Drosophila melanogaster: one gene and its partners. The protein of the gene in region 1 interacts with the protein of each later gene in a pairwise test. Each region holds a gene or a part of one and is shown on either strand. Other genes may lie near its edges.

The links.
Region 2: the proteins of Eglp4 (region 1) and fax interact in a two-hybrid assay, tested with the Drosophila melanogaster proteins (one large-scale study listed by BioGRID).
Region 3: the proteins of Eglp4 (region 1) and CG7407 interact in a two-hybrid assay, tested with the Drosophila melanogaster proteins (one large-scale study listed by BioGRID).
Region 4: the proteins of Eglp4 (region 1) and CG42263 interact in a two-hybrid assay, tested with the Drosophila melanogaster proteins (one large-scale study listed by BioGRID).

Annotation. Positions count from the first base shown.
Region 1 is NT_033778.4:23,607,081-23,610,661, forward strand, and holds Eglp4 (entomoglyceroporin 4), read right to left. Parts: upstream 1,851-3,581; 5' UTR 1,727-1,850; coding exon 1,052-1,726; intron 972-1,051; coding exon 753-971; 3' UTR 512-752; downstream 1-511.
Region 2 is NT_037436.4:16,408,819-16,413,821, reverse strand, and holds the start of fax (failed axon connections), read left to right. Parts: upstream 1-1,993; 5' UTR 1,994-2,403; coding exon 2,404-2,820; intron 2,821-5,003. Other genes in the region: Serinc (serine incorporator), read right to left, coding at 19-574, 942-977. UniProt on the Drosophila melanogaster protein: Together with Abl, involved in embryonic axonal development.
Region 3 is NT_037436.4:21,821,705-21,825,136, forward strand, and holds CG7407 (uncharacterized protein), read left to right. Parts: upstream 1-1,756; 5' UTR 1,757-1,827; coding exon 1,828-1,959; intron 1,960-2,021; coding exon 2,022-2,396; 3' UTR 2,397-2,867; downstream 2,868-3,432. Other genes in the region: CycH (cyclin H), read left to right, coding at 302-615, 692-893, 953-1,181, 1,237-1,348, 1,407-1,524; eIF2A (eukaryotic translation initiation factor 2A), read left to right, coding at 3,334-3,373.
Region 4 is NT_037436.4:19,954,022-19,957,661, reverse strand, and holds CG42263 (uncharacterized protein), read left to right. Parts: upstream 1-1,862; 5' UTR 1,863-1,909; coding exon 1,910-2,054; intron 2,055-2,114; coding exon 2,115-2,209; intron 2,210-2,258; coding exon 2,259-2,415; intron 2,416-2,470; coding exon 2,471-2,562; 3' UTR 2,563-3,115; downstream 3,116-3,640. Other genes in the region: CG42654 (uncharacterized protein), read left to right, coding at 3,152-3,272, 3,335-3,370, 3,431-3,516, 3,568-3,640.

The DNA of each region.
Region 1 (3,581 bases):
ATTAGCATATCACCCATAGCACATAGTCCCCTTTAAACCACATAGAACCACATATATCATTTGTGCTTCGTATACGGACTATAGACCCGAATGGAGTACGTAACGTACAATAACTGCATATTGTTGGTATATTTTGGCTTTATTTGGCTGATACGCGCGTCTCATTCGCAGCCTGCTGATAACGTTTTTTAGCCACCATTTGATTGGTCGATTTGGAGGTACTAAGATATTCGAATATCTTATGAACAGATTTTCCAAAGACCGCTTAAGCTGATGGGCTTTTTTCACTTTCGATTCCTGGAAAAAGCTTATTGGTATTTTTAAGCCCGGAAGTTACTTAGAGCTAATCAAAGCAAATACCTCGTTATTGAAGAATGAAAAGCTTTTAGATAATATGGACTCAACATGTTTTAAGATGGCCCAGAAGAGCAGAACTTCAGGTATCAAATAACTACCAATATCTTGTGTAGAATTTCTTAAAACCATAAAAATAATTTACTTGTTTTGTTTTGGTTTTAGATTAAAAATCTCGATGTTCTTTATTTCTGAAGGCAATTAGTGTTTTCACCAAGACGTTTATCGTTTCAAGGGCTTATGTAAGTGTGTGCACTTGGTTCGCCTTTTGAAACGTTCGAGCCACTTTGTGAAGACACTGCTAACATTAGCGTACAACGAATGCATTATTTTAAAATTCGGCATCTTAGATATTAACTAAATTAGTTAGGGCTTTTCCTACAGCAATGTCTTTGGCCTTACGACAGCTGGACGTCCTCCAGTTGCCGCAGCTTCTCATTGGAGGTGATCTCCGCCTCAACCACCTCGCGGCGGAAGACGACCTTGTAGGCGTAGGCGGTGATGGCGGAGGAGCTCAGCGGGGCCAGCCAGTAGATCCAGTTGCTCTCGAAGTGCTTGTTCCACAGGGCGGGGGCGAACGACCTGGCCGGGTTCATGCTGCCGCCGGTGAAGGGACCCTAAAACCAATGGTAGGGAACGAGGTTAATAATCCGTTTCGAGGCAGGTAAGGATTAGCCAACTGTTCGCTTTAACTTACGGCAGCGCAGGCGAGACAGGCGATGGCCAGGCCAAATCGAATGCCCACGGAGTCATGGAACTTGGAGTTGCGCGGATCCCACACTCCGCAGCAGACGATGACCAGGATGGAGGTGATTACGAACTCGATGCCGAGGGCCTGGCCCGTGGTTACGCTGGTGTGGGGCAAGGTCACGCAGAGCCCAGCGCCCACCGTAAGTGTGGGCGAGGGAAGCAGGACCATGAGCAGGCCGTAGCCGATGAAGGCGCCCAGCATCTGGGCGGCGAAGTAGGCAAATGCCATGCGCAGGGTGACCATCTCGTAGATGTAGGCGGCCACGGTCACGGCGGGATTCAGATGGGCACCGGAGACGCAGCCAAAGCACTGGATGGCGATGAGGACGGCGAAGCCGAAGTTCAGCACAATCTGCAGATGGTTGTTGGGAAAGAGGTCCGTCTTCACGCAACCCATGCAGCCCAGGAAGACCAGGATGCCGGTGCCGATGAGCTCGCCGAGGAAGGCGGAGATTTTGTCCAGCGTCGATCCCTTCATTTTGAAGACCTTACAGCAACTGAAATGGTCAGAGAAGCGCTTGAATAATGCCACACTAAAAAGCGAGCTACCCTCTCTGTCGCACGCCATCGTCCATCTCTTTCTCGACTCTAAGTAGACCTGCTTAGGAACTTCATCAATCATATCCTATCTAAGACCATCCTATCGTTTCGCAAAGCCCTCCTCGATTTGCACCTAATCCCCGCGACACACTTCTACAATCTCAACTATTGTGCAACTTTGTAGTTAGTTTGTCAAGCTTCTAGACCTTTGCAACTGCTGTTCTCCTTCGGCTGCCTGGACGATTTCCTGCTGGTTTTCCACCCCTTGCGGATCCATCCCCTGCTGCTCGAGGTTCATTGACTTGGCATCGATTTTCCAAACACCCTTTTTTGGAAGCACAACTTATGCTGCTGATCCGACAAACGATGCCTGCTGCGGGAATGCCATCGATGGCTGGACTGACATGAAGTAGCCGTGTACTAAATATAGTAGACTTGTGATTGCCGTTCGGCTGTCAATTGGGTTTATAGATAAATGGCCGAAAAAATGCGAATCAAATCACGACATGGCCATAAAACAATAACCAATCTTTTTCAACCTTATCGCCTGAGCGCCACTCGAGTCAATTGGAGTTCACTACGTTGCGAATTAATCCGTTTATTGTGATTGGTAAATCCCTCTTTCTGGTAGCCAGAACTCTTGTTTTTTGTTTTTTGAATTTCTTTGGTTTCGAGTGCCAGATAATTACCGAATCTCGTGGCTCATTTTGACACTTGTCCAATTCTTTGAGATCGCACTATATAATCAATCTTTTCCGTAGCTGGTGAAAATTCACAAAGCGGCAGCGCGACTGTCAATGTCAATCTGAGGCGGTGGAGTAGCCATAGGCAAATATTTATATCTGTGTCTATATAATATTGCGTAAATCAAAAGCCCATTTTTAGCCCCTGTGAGAGAGCAGCAACACACACAGATACACACACACACATATGAAGGGGACCGACCACAAGCACACACACACACACACACACACAAAGGCGTGGAAATTAGCGAATCCTACTGGTGAGCATAAAAAAGTCAAGTGTCCAGAATTTATGAGCATCTTAAACGCTCATTCGCTGCTCTCGTTCGCTTTTGCGATTATCTCTGGAGCGATGCTCCTTCTCGCTCCCACTCTTCCTTTACCAGTCACCTGGCTTAAATCATTATAAAATGGTAGAAACAATACGGATGATATTCCATGGAAACAAGGTTAGATATTAACACTTGGTGTGCAACTGACATACTGGTTTTGCTCTATCGAATTCATTCGACTTATTCACAGCATTTTATGAGAATTATAATATTAAAGGTGGTCCTTACATTTGTTTTTTAAGTAAATTATCATTTTCATTTAACTTGTTTCTTACTATTTGTTTGCCATGAGAAAGGCAAATCTGCTAAGCAATGATTGCTAGAATTAGTAGTAACCATAGTTCCTAAAATACGACATTTTCATTGCGTGTCATTCAAACTTAGCACTAAACTGTAATTGATAGCGAAAATCCCCATAATTATTTTCAGTGTAGTTGGTCGGTGGGCGGTGGGCATAACACTGTTATGCTGTGCAAGTGCGTGACGCGCTCGCAATTGAAGCAGGCGGCATATTGCGTATTGATAACAGCAGAGTGGCACACTATCAATTACCACCGTCGCTTCGATTCCTATCAATTGCAATTGCTGCAATTGAGGATGCGTTGCGTGAATCGGGCTACCACGCAATGTGGCAAACAAATCACGGCAAATCTCGGCACGCCTGTCGATCAAATTGCACGCAATTTGCGTAGTTATGTGTCTCAATAACAATTGGATCGTCAATAAATAATAACAATTTAAAGCAAATATTTTCAAAAGCCCTGCTGTTGCACACACACCCAGTACACACAGTGGCTCAGGTGATCAGAACTTTTGACCCTCACTGACCACGCCTAATGTTTTCCATTGCTTTCTCGCCATA
Region 2 (5,003 bases), on another chromosome or scaffold:
GGCCGGAACATGACTCACCTATCCAGTTTTCAGCCAGCGAGTGAGCGAAATCCACAATGATGACCAGCTGGACGAGTATGAAGGCCAGGCCACCAATTAGACCCACCCACATCATGGCCGGACCAAAGGATCCATCCGGAATAAAGATGGCTCCAATCGCAGCGCCAAAGCAGATCAGAAATTTCAGTGGCCAAAAGTTGTTCTGGATGTGCGAACGCGGATCCCTGGAGCTCTTCACACCCAGCATAATCAGTGACATCAGAGCGAAAAAGCAGGCCATGCCAAAGCAAACCCTATATACTGCCATGTAACCAAGTGCATACTCGCAGTCGACTTGCAGAGATCCTCCCGAGACAGCGCTGAGTGCTCCCGAGCTATACGACGAGGTGGAGTTGATGCAGAAGGGCATCTTCTTCAGGGTGTCCTGCAGTCCAGGGGACAGCGCAATCGCCCCCAGTACGGTGCCCACCAGGAGGATGAAGGCGTACATGAAGCGCGATGAGGAGGCGTTGGTGCAGCTCGGGCAGGCGGAGCAGCACATGCTGGCTGCAGTGCCTCCACAGCACATGGCGCACTGGAAATGCAAGAATTAAGTATTAAATGGAGACGCAATTGAAGAATTATTCTATTTGATCCAACTTGCTAATAAGTTTTGTCAATAATCCGGATTAATTGAATGATCAACCATCGAAAGTTAAGTTTGCAATACATTTTTCATATTGTTTTCAACTTATTAAAAATTTAAAAATTCATTAAAGTATCTAATAGCTCAAATTGCAAGCTAAATCTTTCTTTTAGATGAAAATCATAGCAGCATTCATGAGTATTGTGAAATTAATAAAATGTTGAATTTCTCCGCATTTGAAACATATGTCTGCTTTTATTGATTTGTAGCCAATGTAAAGAATTTTACCTGGCTAATTAGCTCGCAATTTTCTTACCTGAGCGGCTGAACAGATGCCCAAAGCAGCTCCCATTGTTGCAGCAATAAACTTAGATTTTTACTTTAGTCAAACTGCGTTTTTATTAAATTAAACAAATCTTTGTTTGTGAAAATGATAGAGATGGACTATTTACTGCCTATAGTGACTATCGAATACAGCGGCTGGCGATATTTTTCAGCAATCGTAAGCAGTTGTAAATTTAAAAGTAAATGGGATCAATTCTTTCGCATATTTGCATTTTAAAAATGCTCTTTCAATGTCTTAAATTTTTCAATATGTTTCAAATTTTAAAATTTATAGTTTTAAAATTGAAGTAAATTACTGCAATTTTCTGTACTTCCACAGTTGCCATGCTGATTTCTGCAAAAGTCGGGAGGTGCCATCCGTTCCCTATTCAAATTTCAAAACTTCTGCCACTCCCTCCCAGATGGCGCTTTGCAGTTTCTCAAAACAAAATAGTTTGTCTCCTAAAATAAACTAACAAACGTTATAAATAAACATAAAACATTATTGAAAGCTGAATGAGAGAGAAAGTTCAGATCAATTTTTGTGAATTAAATCATAAACTAATATTATATTTTGAATTAACTTAACTATTGTAACAGTTATTGATAGAGTCGAAATAGGTAATACAGAAAAAGGTTCTATTGATAGTAGTTTTAAAAGGGTATCTGTTCAGTCAACCAGCTAATATTACCGCTCATAAATCTTTAAATGTGTACATAAATGGAGATGTTCTTAATTTTAATAAATCTAGTCGCGAAACTCGAAACTTTACCTAAGGATCGAGAAAACATTTGTTCATAAATTGAGCGTAAGCATAATGGAATATTATTTAAAAAGTTACTTAATATCATTCTTTACTTGTGTTATAAATTAGTTGCTTATAATTTAGGTTGACTCCACAATTTTAAAATTTTTACTCATATAAGTTTTTATAAAATCTATTCCTTGATCTTAATTTCCAGTCACTGGAAGTGGGTTATTTTTAGTGCATCTGCACTCGGCCGATTGCATTCGAGAATACGTTCGCACGCGGCATCTGGCCACACTGCCTGCAACGCTAGCTCGCCTTCGCAACGCGAATCCGCTCATTTCAAATTTTCAAACTCCCGAGAGCGGTTGCGGCGGTGTCGAGACAGCGGCTCCTGAATCCATCCGAATCCGAAAGCGAATCGCATCCAGCCAAGATATCCTATCGTGCAGCTGAAACCCGAAACCCGAATCCGAGTTCGAAACGAAACGAATCGCAGTGGTGGTTTCTCTCTCGCTCTCTAGCTCTCCCTCTCTCTCGCGTGTGTGTATGTGTGCGAGTGGCAGGAAAAGTGCGAAGCCGAAATCTTTTTAGCTGAAAGAAAGCGCAACTTCAATTAGCGAAAAGCAAGAGTAGCTAACAAAAAGAAAAGCGGATCGAAAAGTAAAGAAAAACAAAAAAAAAAAACAAAAGCAACAAATCGAAATGGCAAGCGAAGTGGCCCAAATACCCGCCGAGGAAACGCCCGCAGTGGCGGCGGCGGAAAAATCAGAGGAGCCGGAAAAGTCAGCGGCCCCGCCAGCGGACTCAGCGGCCGCTCCAGCTGCCGCCCCCGCAGTGGAGAAGGCTGAGGATGCCGATGGCGAGAAGAAGGACGGCGAGGCCGGAAAGCAGGACAAGCAGCAGGATGGCGAGGAGCCCAAAAAGGACGAGGCGGTGGCAGCACCCGTGGCGACCAAATCGGAAGCCCCGCCCGCCCAGAAATTCAATGTGCACAAGACCAACTTCGAGAAGGACATCATCTATCTGTACCAGTTCTCGCGCACCCCACTGCTGCCCTCCCTGTCGCCCTACTGCCTGAAGGTGGAGACCTGGCTGCGTCTTGTGGGCCTGAAATACGAGGTGAGTGGTGGTCATAAATCCGGGGAAAAAAACCATAGAAAATTCATGAAAACCTCATTATAAATCGAGCCATCATTTGGCATCCTTCAAAGTACCCAGGATAATTAGGGAAAACCCAAAAACGGACTAGGTAGAATCCCAGGAAGAGCCGAAAACTCTCAGATATTCCAGAAATCCCAGATTTTCAAGGCATTTTTGCGGTACAGATTTTTTCCCAGCTCCTGCGGGAGAGAGCGAGAGAGCTCGGGGAAGAGAGCCAGCGCCGCCATCATGGTGTGCTGCTAAGCCTGCCCGTGTGCATGTGTGTGTGTGACCTGCCCTGCCCCGTAACTGAAAAGGGATACATTTGTGCCGCCTTCCCTCTCTCTCCCAGCGCCCATGCCTGTGTGTGTGAACCTGTAGCCTGGTCCTTTGCGCGTGTGTGTGTGCACAGCGTATACATAAAATTTGTGTGTGCGCCGACGCCGCCCCTCACCCCTTCATCTCTTTGTGCTCCCCTTTGCAAAAGTCGTGCTTCAAATTTTGCACTTGCCGACTCTCTCCTTTTGTCTCGCTCCCTCTCTCGCCGTCTGCTCTTTGTCTTTTGTTGCTGCACTGTTTTTTTTTTATTTCACTTTTCTTTCGACTTCTTTTTGCACTGCACGAAAAGTTGTCATCTCTATGCGCTGCATGCATCTTTTCTTAGCATCTTCGAGATCCATGCAACTGTGCTCTCACTCCATCCACACAACAGCAAATTTTCTCTCTGTATACTTTAGCAGGAGCAGCAGCAGCAGCTTGTAATTGCTTTTAATAAAAATTGATGCAGTTTAAGCTGGACTCAGAAATAGCTGTCTCCCTCTTCGCCTTCCAACTCCCCTTCTCCTTTTCCCTTTCTTTTCTTATCCGTTAAGTAGCTGTAATAGTGTTGGGGGCTGGGTGGGGGGAGTGGCAGACAAACAACTGTCAACGACTTCCAATGGTGCCTTCCATTTTGGCTTGTTGTTTTTTCCTTCACTTTTTAAAGCGCGCGATGCGGTTTGCATATTTTTCATATTTTTTCTGTGCGAGAGGAAAAGCGTGTAGTATGTGGTAGTGGCCGGGGGAGAAATGGGTGCGGTCACCCGCACAAAAACTGGCGACGCAATTGCTGTTTAATCTTATTAATTACATTGGTTAATGAAAAACGAGCCCCTTGCGCGGAATGTTAATTGATGCCGTCGCCTTCCAGATGCCGATAAGCAATCGCCCCCATATGTTGCATTCCACGAAGCAATTATGATTGACAGTCCGTCAGTGGCCGCTTTTCGGCCCGCAGCTGGAAATTACTTTCCATTTTCACGATTATTCCCAATTCCACTGATAAGGCGCAGGCTGCCCAAAATACGGCGGCATTCGATTAGTAGGAAGGAGGGAGTGGGGGGTGGGTAAAAAAAAGAGTTCAACAAACTGGGGACCTTTGACATTTCTGGCATGGTTTGTTGTTGCTGCAGCGCGGCATTAATCATGGAAAAAAAGGGAGGGTGACTGACTGTAAATGCAACTGACTAAGCCAGTTTTCCCCCCTGCTGCTTGCGCTCGGCTGCATTTCTTGCCTGCTCTCCTCCTTTGTGTACACACATTCGTCAGTGTAAACAAGAGCAGAAGTTGTTTCTTTATTGATGATAAACCGAATGCATATTTTTTTCACACCACATTGAAGGCGGCGCCCATTAATAAGCACAGCAGCAACAACAACAACAACTGGGCATAAGTTTCGCTTTTGAGGCGGTGGCCCGCATTGCTAGCATTCCTGAGTGTCGCGCTCGTAGATTGTGCAATTAATTTACATTTTCTCTGCCATATGCATTGCGGGCACAGAGCGATTAAAATTCAAATGGAAATGCTGGCGCGCCATTGCATTTGTGCAATATTGCCGGGCTGCAATTTCAAGGTATTCTGGCAACGCTGCTGCCTCTCCTGCTGCAACTGTACATGTGCGAATGTGTGCGTATCGTATGTCCATGTGTGCGTGTGTGTGTATGTTGGGAGGAAATGGAGTTTTTTTGCTTCTCGTTTTTGTATTTTTTACGTTTTATAGCTGCCTTTGTTTTAATTAATAAACCGCATATTTGCATTTAAACAACACACAGTGGACGGCCTTTGTTGTTGCTCACTCGCTCCAGTGCAATTCTCCCGCTCTCGCTCTCTCTCTCTGGAACTTC
Region 3 (3,432 bases), on another chromosome or scaffold:
ATAAATATTTTAGAACTAAAACCAAAATAAATGATGTTTTCCCTACTAAAATTATACTCGAACTTGTAGCTGTATTAAAACGTGTTCACTTATTGATTAAATCATAGCCCATACAGTTAGTTATACGTTCTCAATTTTTGCCAATCTTGCGCTTCTGATTTCCAATGAAATAAAAGTGACTATTGTACGAATCACCCTAATATTTTTTCACAACTGGTATTTTTCTCCGTCCCGCAATCGGTAACACCATGCAGGGTGTCTGAGTTTCGAATCGGCATAAATTCGCCGGCAGCTGAGCAAGATGTATCCTGTGAGCTCGCAAAAGAGGTCCTGGACATTCGCCAATGAGGGCCAGCTCATGGAGTTCCGCGTGGAGCAGAACAGCAAGTACATCGAGTCGCACGAGGAGGAGGCGCAGGGTCGCGACCTCAATGAGCACTTTCTCACGTCGGCGGAGGAGCGCCTGTTGCTGAAGCAGTACGAGATCTACCTGTTCGATTTCTGCCGCCGCTTCGAACCGACGATGCCCAAGTGCGTTGTGGGCACGGCCTTCCACTACTTCAAGCGGTTCTATCTGAACAACTCCCCCATGGACTATCACCCCAAGGAGATTCTGTAGGAACGCTCACCTGAGAGCAGCAAACACCCAGCTGAAAAGCAAAACATTCTAAAAATGTATAAACCTTTTCAGAGCCACATGCGTGTTCGTTGCCTGCAAAGTTGAGGAGTTCAACGTGTCCATCAACCAGTTCGTAAACAACATCAAGGGCGACAGGAACAAGGCCACCGACATAGTGTTGTCCAATGAATTACTGCTGATTGGACAGCTCAACTACTACCTCACCATACACAATCCGTTCAGACCCATCGAGGGTTTCCTGATAGATATAAAAGTGCGATATATATTCACATTTGCTCTCCAGATTGTTTCGTTCATATTGGTTTGTTTCAGACTCGCAGCAATATGCAGAATCCAGATCGTCTGCGGCCACATATTGATAGTTTCATTGATTCCACGTACTACTCGGATGCCTGTCTTCTGCATACGCCTTCGCAAATTGCATTGGCTGCCGTCCTCCACGCGGCCAGCAGAGAGCAAGAGAATCTCGATAGCTATGTGACGGATCTTCTGTTTGTCTCCGCCAGGGAGAAGCTACCCGGACTCATAGATGCCGTGCGAAGTAAGTTTGTGCTGTGAGATGGTGCGCCCAGCCCTACATGCCTTTTTCCCGACAGAAATTCGCATAATGGTGAAGCAATATCAGCAGCCCGATCGGGAGAAGGTCAAGGCCATCGAGAAAAAGTTGGACAAGTGCCGAAATCAAGCCAATAATCCTGATAGCGAACTGTAAGACGCCCTAATTTGTTCATGCATTCCGAATTTAATAACCCTTATACTTTAAAAGCTATAAGGAGCGCCTACGCCGATTGTACACCGATGAGGATGACATGCCCGCCGAAGATGCCTCATTCCACATTGCAGATGTGAGCTCGGACACATCTGCTATGAACATCAGCCAATAGACTTAAGAATATTTATTTAAATGATGTGATGATCTACTACTGCGTGGATTTCATCGATATTAAAGCATTTTGTAATTTACCATTTCTTGATTGTTAAAATGTATGCGTTTAGTGTTAGTTTACTAAACAAAGTTGGATTAGGTACTTCACTTTTCCAATATATAAAATATTAAAAAAAAAACCTTTTGAAAATCCGCTTAGCGCTGCTTGGCAATATTTCGTTCGCAGCTAACGGCCACACTGCGCCCCAAGAAAAACAAGAATAGTGAACTCAGTCACAACAAATAGCAAAAAGAGTTCGAAATGCAGGATTTTCTGCCTTCGCTGGATGTTCTCTTTCTTGGACTACCAGGCCACTACTCGGTAGCGCTGGTCACCCTTCTGCTGTGCGTTTTGGTCGCCTTCTACTTCGCCAACATCTTCAAGGACAAAGGCGTGGGTGTTTTTGCCGGAAGAAGTAGACGTCTCCTGGAATATTTCCTTACATTATCTTGCAGGAACTGGAGGACGAGGGCCTGGGGGCCGACGAGCCGCGCGATGAGGAGGATTCCGAGTCACGGACTCCGCAAGGGGAGGAAACCGACGATGACGAGGCCTACGAAGAGAACTCCACCGAAAGCGAAGTTGAGCTAATCGAGGAACAGCTGCCCGAGCACAGCTACAACCACCTGATGGGCCAGCTCAAGGCCAAGAGGCTCCAGCATAAGATGGAGAAGACCCTGACTCCCAGCCAAATCGAGGAGGAGCGCCGAATAGAGCGCGAGCAGCTGGCGGCCATCTTTGAGCTCCTGCGCAAACAGGAGGCGGAATTGAACCTCCAGGACCGAATAAGCGACCAGGATCTCAAGCAGCAGGTGCGGCTCTATCGCTGAAGTGGCGCCGAGCCTGGGCTCACCCTACCTGAATGTACAGACTTGTGTGATCTATTAGTTTAATGTTTAAAATTCCAAGATTTGGTGTTGCCTCATACGGTCCACTAAGTGCGGGCAAGTCTTTAGTCAGAGAGCTATCTCATCAGTCGATGATGTCGGAATATAATATCTTAGTTGTATGTAAATTATATGTATTCCACTTCGATCTATGTATTTTGTGAGTTCCTGGTGTTATTAATATCTGATTTAGATTTGTAGTAAATGGCTGTTCGGCTCTTAGTCTCTTAAATCAGCTTTCGAATTAAGAATATATGTATATATTTTAACGTGTTACAAGATAAAAACTCGCGATCAGAAAGTGTATAGATTTAAACACAATTAATCGCCAAATTCGTTGGTTAGATTTAAATTGTGTTCATATAACTTTGGATTTATTTGTTCAATAAAGAATGTTTAGCTGTGTTAAGATGTAATATATACTCTAAATATTTCCTACCGTTTCCTAGCCAAATATCCGAAAATAACCGCTCATATTTTATATGCCGCGATTGGATTTTTGAAAATAATTGTTCTAACATATAGATTCCATCAGCACACCTTCGATTGGAGCAGTCGAAATGCTTAGCGTTTCTGTTCCAAATTTTTTAGTACTAAAATGTTTTTAAATTCACGTGGAGCAGATATTTTGTTGGAGTTCTAAATACGTTCGGTTTGGTTTGGTTGATGTTTAAACGTGTCGTTGTGGCGCCAATGCCCATGCATGTTTACTATCGCTTATCGATACACCGCGTACACGGCAACCGTGTGTGACCAATTCAAGCACGAAATCGTTGACCAACACTGATTGTACATCAGACGACACGACAACAAAAACAACAGCAACAACACCACCGACGTGCTTGTTCCTGTGTGTGTGTGCGTGTGAGATTGGAAGACAATGGCTGCAGCTGCGGATCTGGTTGTTCCTACCCTTGCCAGTGAGTATAGCCCGGATGCAATCCCCGCCAGGTGGTCACTGAGGTGCCGTCGACTCCTT
Region 4 (3,640 bases), on another chromosome or scaffold:
TTTCCTCGACTAGCAGATACCCTTTACTAAGATAGCGGGAGTGCGAGGGAGAAATTTCACAATATGTTTGCCATAATAATATAAGTTGGTGAGAAACAATTAGTTCAATAATACAATAATAAAATACAATACATTTATTTATATTGTACATTTTTAAATTGCGGCAATGAAAGATTTTTCGCTTATACGAACGGACAGATAAACGGACAAAGCCAGATCGACTCGGCTAGTGATCCTAATCAAGAATATATTCCATTCAACCTGTTAAATAGTAAATACACTATCAACGAATATTCTTCTACTTTTAAATTAACGAACCAGGTGAATTTTGCTGTGGATCAAATAATTGGAACAGCAATTTCAAAAAACAATTCGTTTTTGGGTGTTTGAAACCTATTTCGAAGGTACACAGAAAAATCGAATGATTGCATTTTTATTTAAAATTATACCAAAATATAAAATTACATCTGTATGCCTTTATTTATTTTCTTTTATTTTTATACGGACTTCGCAATAATATGGCTAATTCCGTTTGATATTTAATGACCAGGATGGTAATGATTTTTTTTTTCTAAGTGCAGGGAGCTCAGTGGGGACGGTACGCTTTGTGGCGTGAATGGCGCCATCAAGAGGCAGCCAGGCGGTGCTCAACTGGCAGCTGAATAAACAGCATCAACAACAAGTGCAGGGAATGGGAGTGGGCTGGGATGGGGTTCTGGGGGTATGGACGGATGGTTGGATGGGGATGGGGATGGGGATGGGGATGGGACCAATGCTGAATACCGTCTCATCGACACTTTTTCATTGAATTCAATTAAAAGCGAAATTGAAAATTGAAATTCAATTAAGATGCTATAAATACGGCAGGGATGGGGTGCAAGGGTGTCAAGCGGGGCAGAGAGTATACAGGATACTGTGGAAGCATTCCGGGATAGAAAGGACTCGTGGCAATGATGATAGATGAGCTGCCAGTGGCTGCTGGAAGTGGATGAAAGAGATTCCATCGATCTGTGTATTGGCTGGGAGCTTCGAGCGGTGCTTATGATATGTGACATGTCCTTTTTTTGAACTTACTCTACTTTCTGTTTTTTTTTTTTCTTTCTCCCTGACATTTAATGGGGCATCAACACCAACATGTTGGTATTGATGACAAATAAATTGATGCTGCAATCAATCAAAAATAAATCAACCATATGGTGCACCAAGATAATCAAGTCTGGGAAACAATACACTAATCTGATTAGGCTCATTAGTAAACCACCATCTAATATTGTCTTATTAGGCTTCGTCTTCACATTTCCATGAAATATTGCCCTTGAGCCACCCAATCAATTCTTGTTTGGTAATAACATCTTTTTTAATTTATGGAATTTAAGCCCAATGCATTCCCTTTGCAACATATTTTGTCACTGTTTGAACTAAATTTAAATTAGTGAACTTTTGCCAACACAAATCCTCTTTAACACTTCAAGTAAGTCCATGATGCGAGCTATCTTTAATAATCCCAAACCCCAAGCCTCGGAAATCACCCCCTATTTTCCAGTCTATTGAAAACATAATTTTTAGACGGCTGCTGCTTTCAATTAACGCATTAGGCAAGGAAAAGGCAGCAGTTTCACTTTGCTCAGGGGATAATAATGAAGAAAAAAATAGAGACCAAGGGACTTTGTCTAACTTTTCCGAAAGGCTAAAGTTTCCGTGGGAGGTCGAGGTCGTTCGAAACTTTGTTGAAAATGACAGAAGACTGCAGTGACCTAAAACCAGAGGAGATGCAGCAATTCAGTTTCGCCAGCTGATGGAAAGAAAGTTGAAGTTTATGGAGTTTAAAAGTTGAAAGCGGTTGGCATTATTTGTCAAACATGGAACTGTATTTTCTAAAATTTATAGCAACGTATTTTTCCTATTTTTGATGCCATTTTTAAGAAAGCTGGTCAGACAAGAATTTTGCTTTTGCATCTCGCTGACTTCTGGATGCATCATAGTTTCATTCTACACACTGTTTTTCGGATTCCTTAACGCAGGCACTACTGTGGATGAGGTTATATACAAGAACAGTGAGTTGGAAAAGTAAGGAAACCTGAATTTTAAGAACAGCATCTAAACCCAAATACCAGCACTCAAGACTGATGTTTATGCGAAATGGTTCAATGTATTTCATATAGCTCTGATGATCGCAGCTGCAGTTATCCTGCTGATATCTGTTATGACGGTAAGAAAATCACTTCCAATATTTTTAATTCTAATAAAATTCCTTTTAGAAGTACTTAAGGATCGTTTTCGTGTGGATGGCCATGTTCATCATTCATATGATATCGTACTACATCATCTTCAATGCTTTGATAAATGTTCGCAATCCGTTCTTTAAAAGTGCTGTCTCTGCGATTATTTATGTTTTCGTGAATTTAGTGACGTTGGGTAAACATATATATTAAAAATCTCTATTCTCGTAAGTTATGCTCCAGCTTTTCAGGAATCGATTTATTTTGTTTGCTCAAAGTCTACACGTATTATTATGTAAAAGCGCATCCAGATGAATTCAGACCAGTTTGTGTGGATAAATGAGAGGATGTCCTTAAAAATTAAATTGAGATCAGCGAAATTGATTTTTAAGATGATGAAAAGCAATAGCATTTCGTGCTCTTTACCCCATGCTCATCAAGTGAGAGGATGATGCTTTTACTGTGCTAATATGGCAGACTCAATTTTCTTTATAATTTCATTAGCATCTTGATGAGAACTGAAAACGATTCCACGCGTGCCTGACAAACACGACACACATCGGGCTGGAAATTCTAGGCTAATGCTAATGAGGCCATAATACAGATTGCTTAAGTTGTAATTATGCAAAAAAGTTAATACCACAATAAAGAAGATATGGCGGAAAATGTGAAGGCAATTTCGTTTAAATTTGGCGCCATCATCTGGGCGAGCTAAACATGAGTATTTGCTTAAAAGTTTTGCAATGTACATAAATTACGTATACGACTTGTGGTTCATAAACAAATCTTGTACATTGAAATTAACAAAGAATTGTTTTGATAATTTAAAATATACGTATAATTTTTTAACATTCAGGCTTAAAAGAAATTCTAAAAATAAAAATATTTTGCAGAATATCTTATTTGCATTTCCTGTCAAAACGTCTGAAATTATGATTCTGGCTAAAAAATTTTGCTTCTGTATATCCTTGCAAATGGGATGTATACTGATTGCATTGGCTGGAATTTTTTTGGCTGGCATGAACATTGACTATATGCTCCTTTGTTTAAATAGTAAATATATATTCACATTGGCATTAGTATTATTTTTTGCATTAAATTTAATGTTTTGATAGGAACCTATTTCAGAGAAATGCAGCACAAATTCCCAGGTAATTTAGTGACTAAGCAGTTCCAATGATTCCATTTGATAATCTAGTTTTATTACCCAGAACAAGCTCTCTACACTGTGATACAAATGTCTCCCGATTTGTTAACTATCTTGGCATCGTTCATGCTAATATTTGCAGTCTTATCGGTATGTATATAATATAATTAAAGATGGTTTTTACAAAATATATGTATTTAGCAATATGGTTGGCTGTTTTGGACAACTCTATTCTTTCAAGCATTTCAGGCAGTCTTCTTTCTTATTTTCAGTT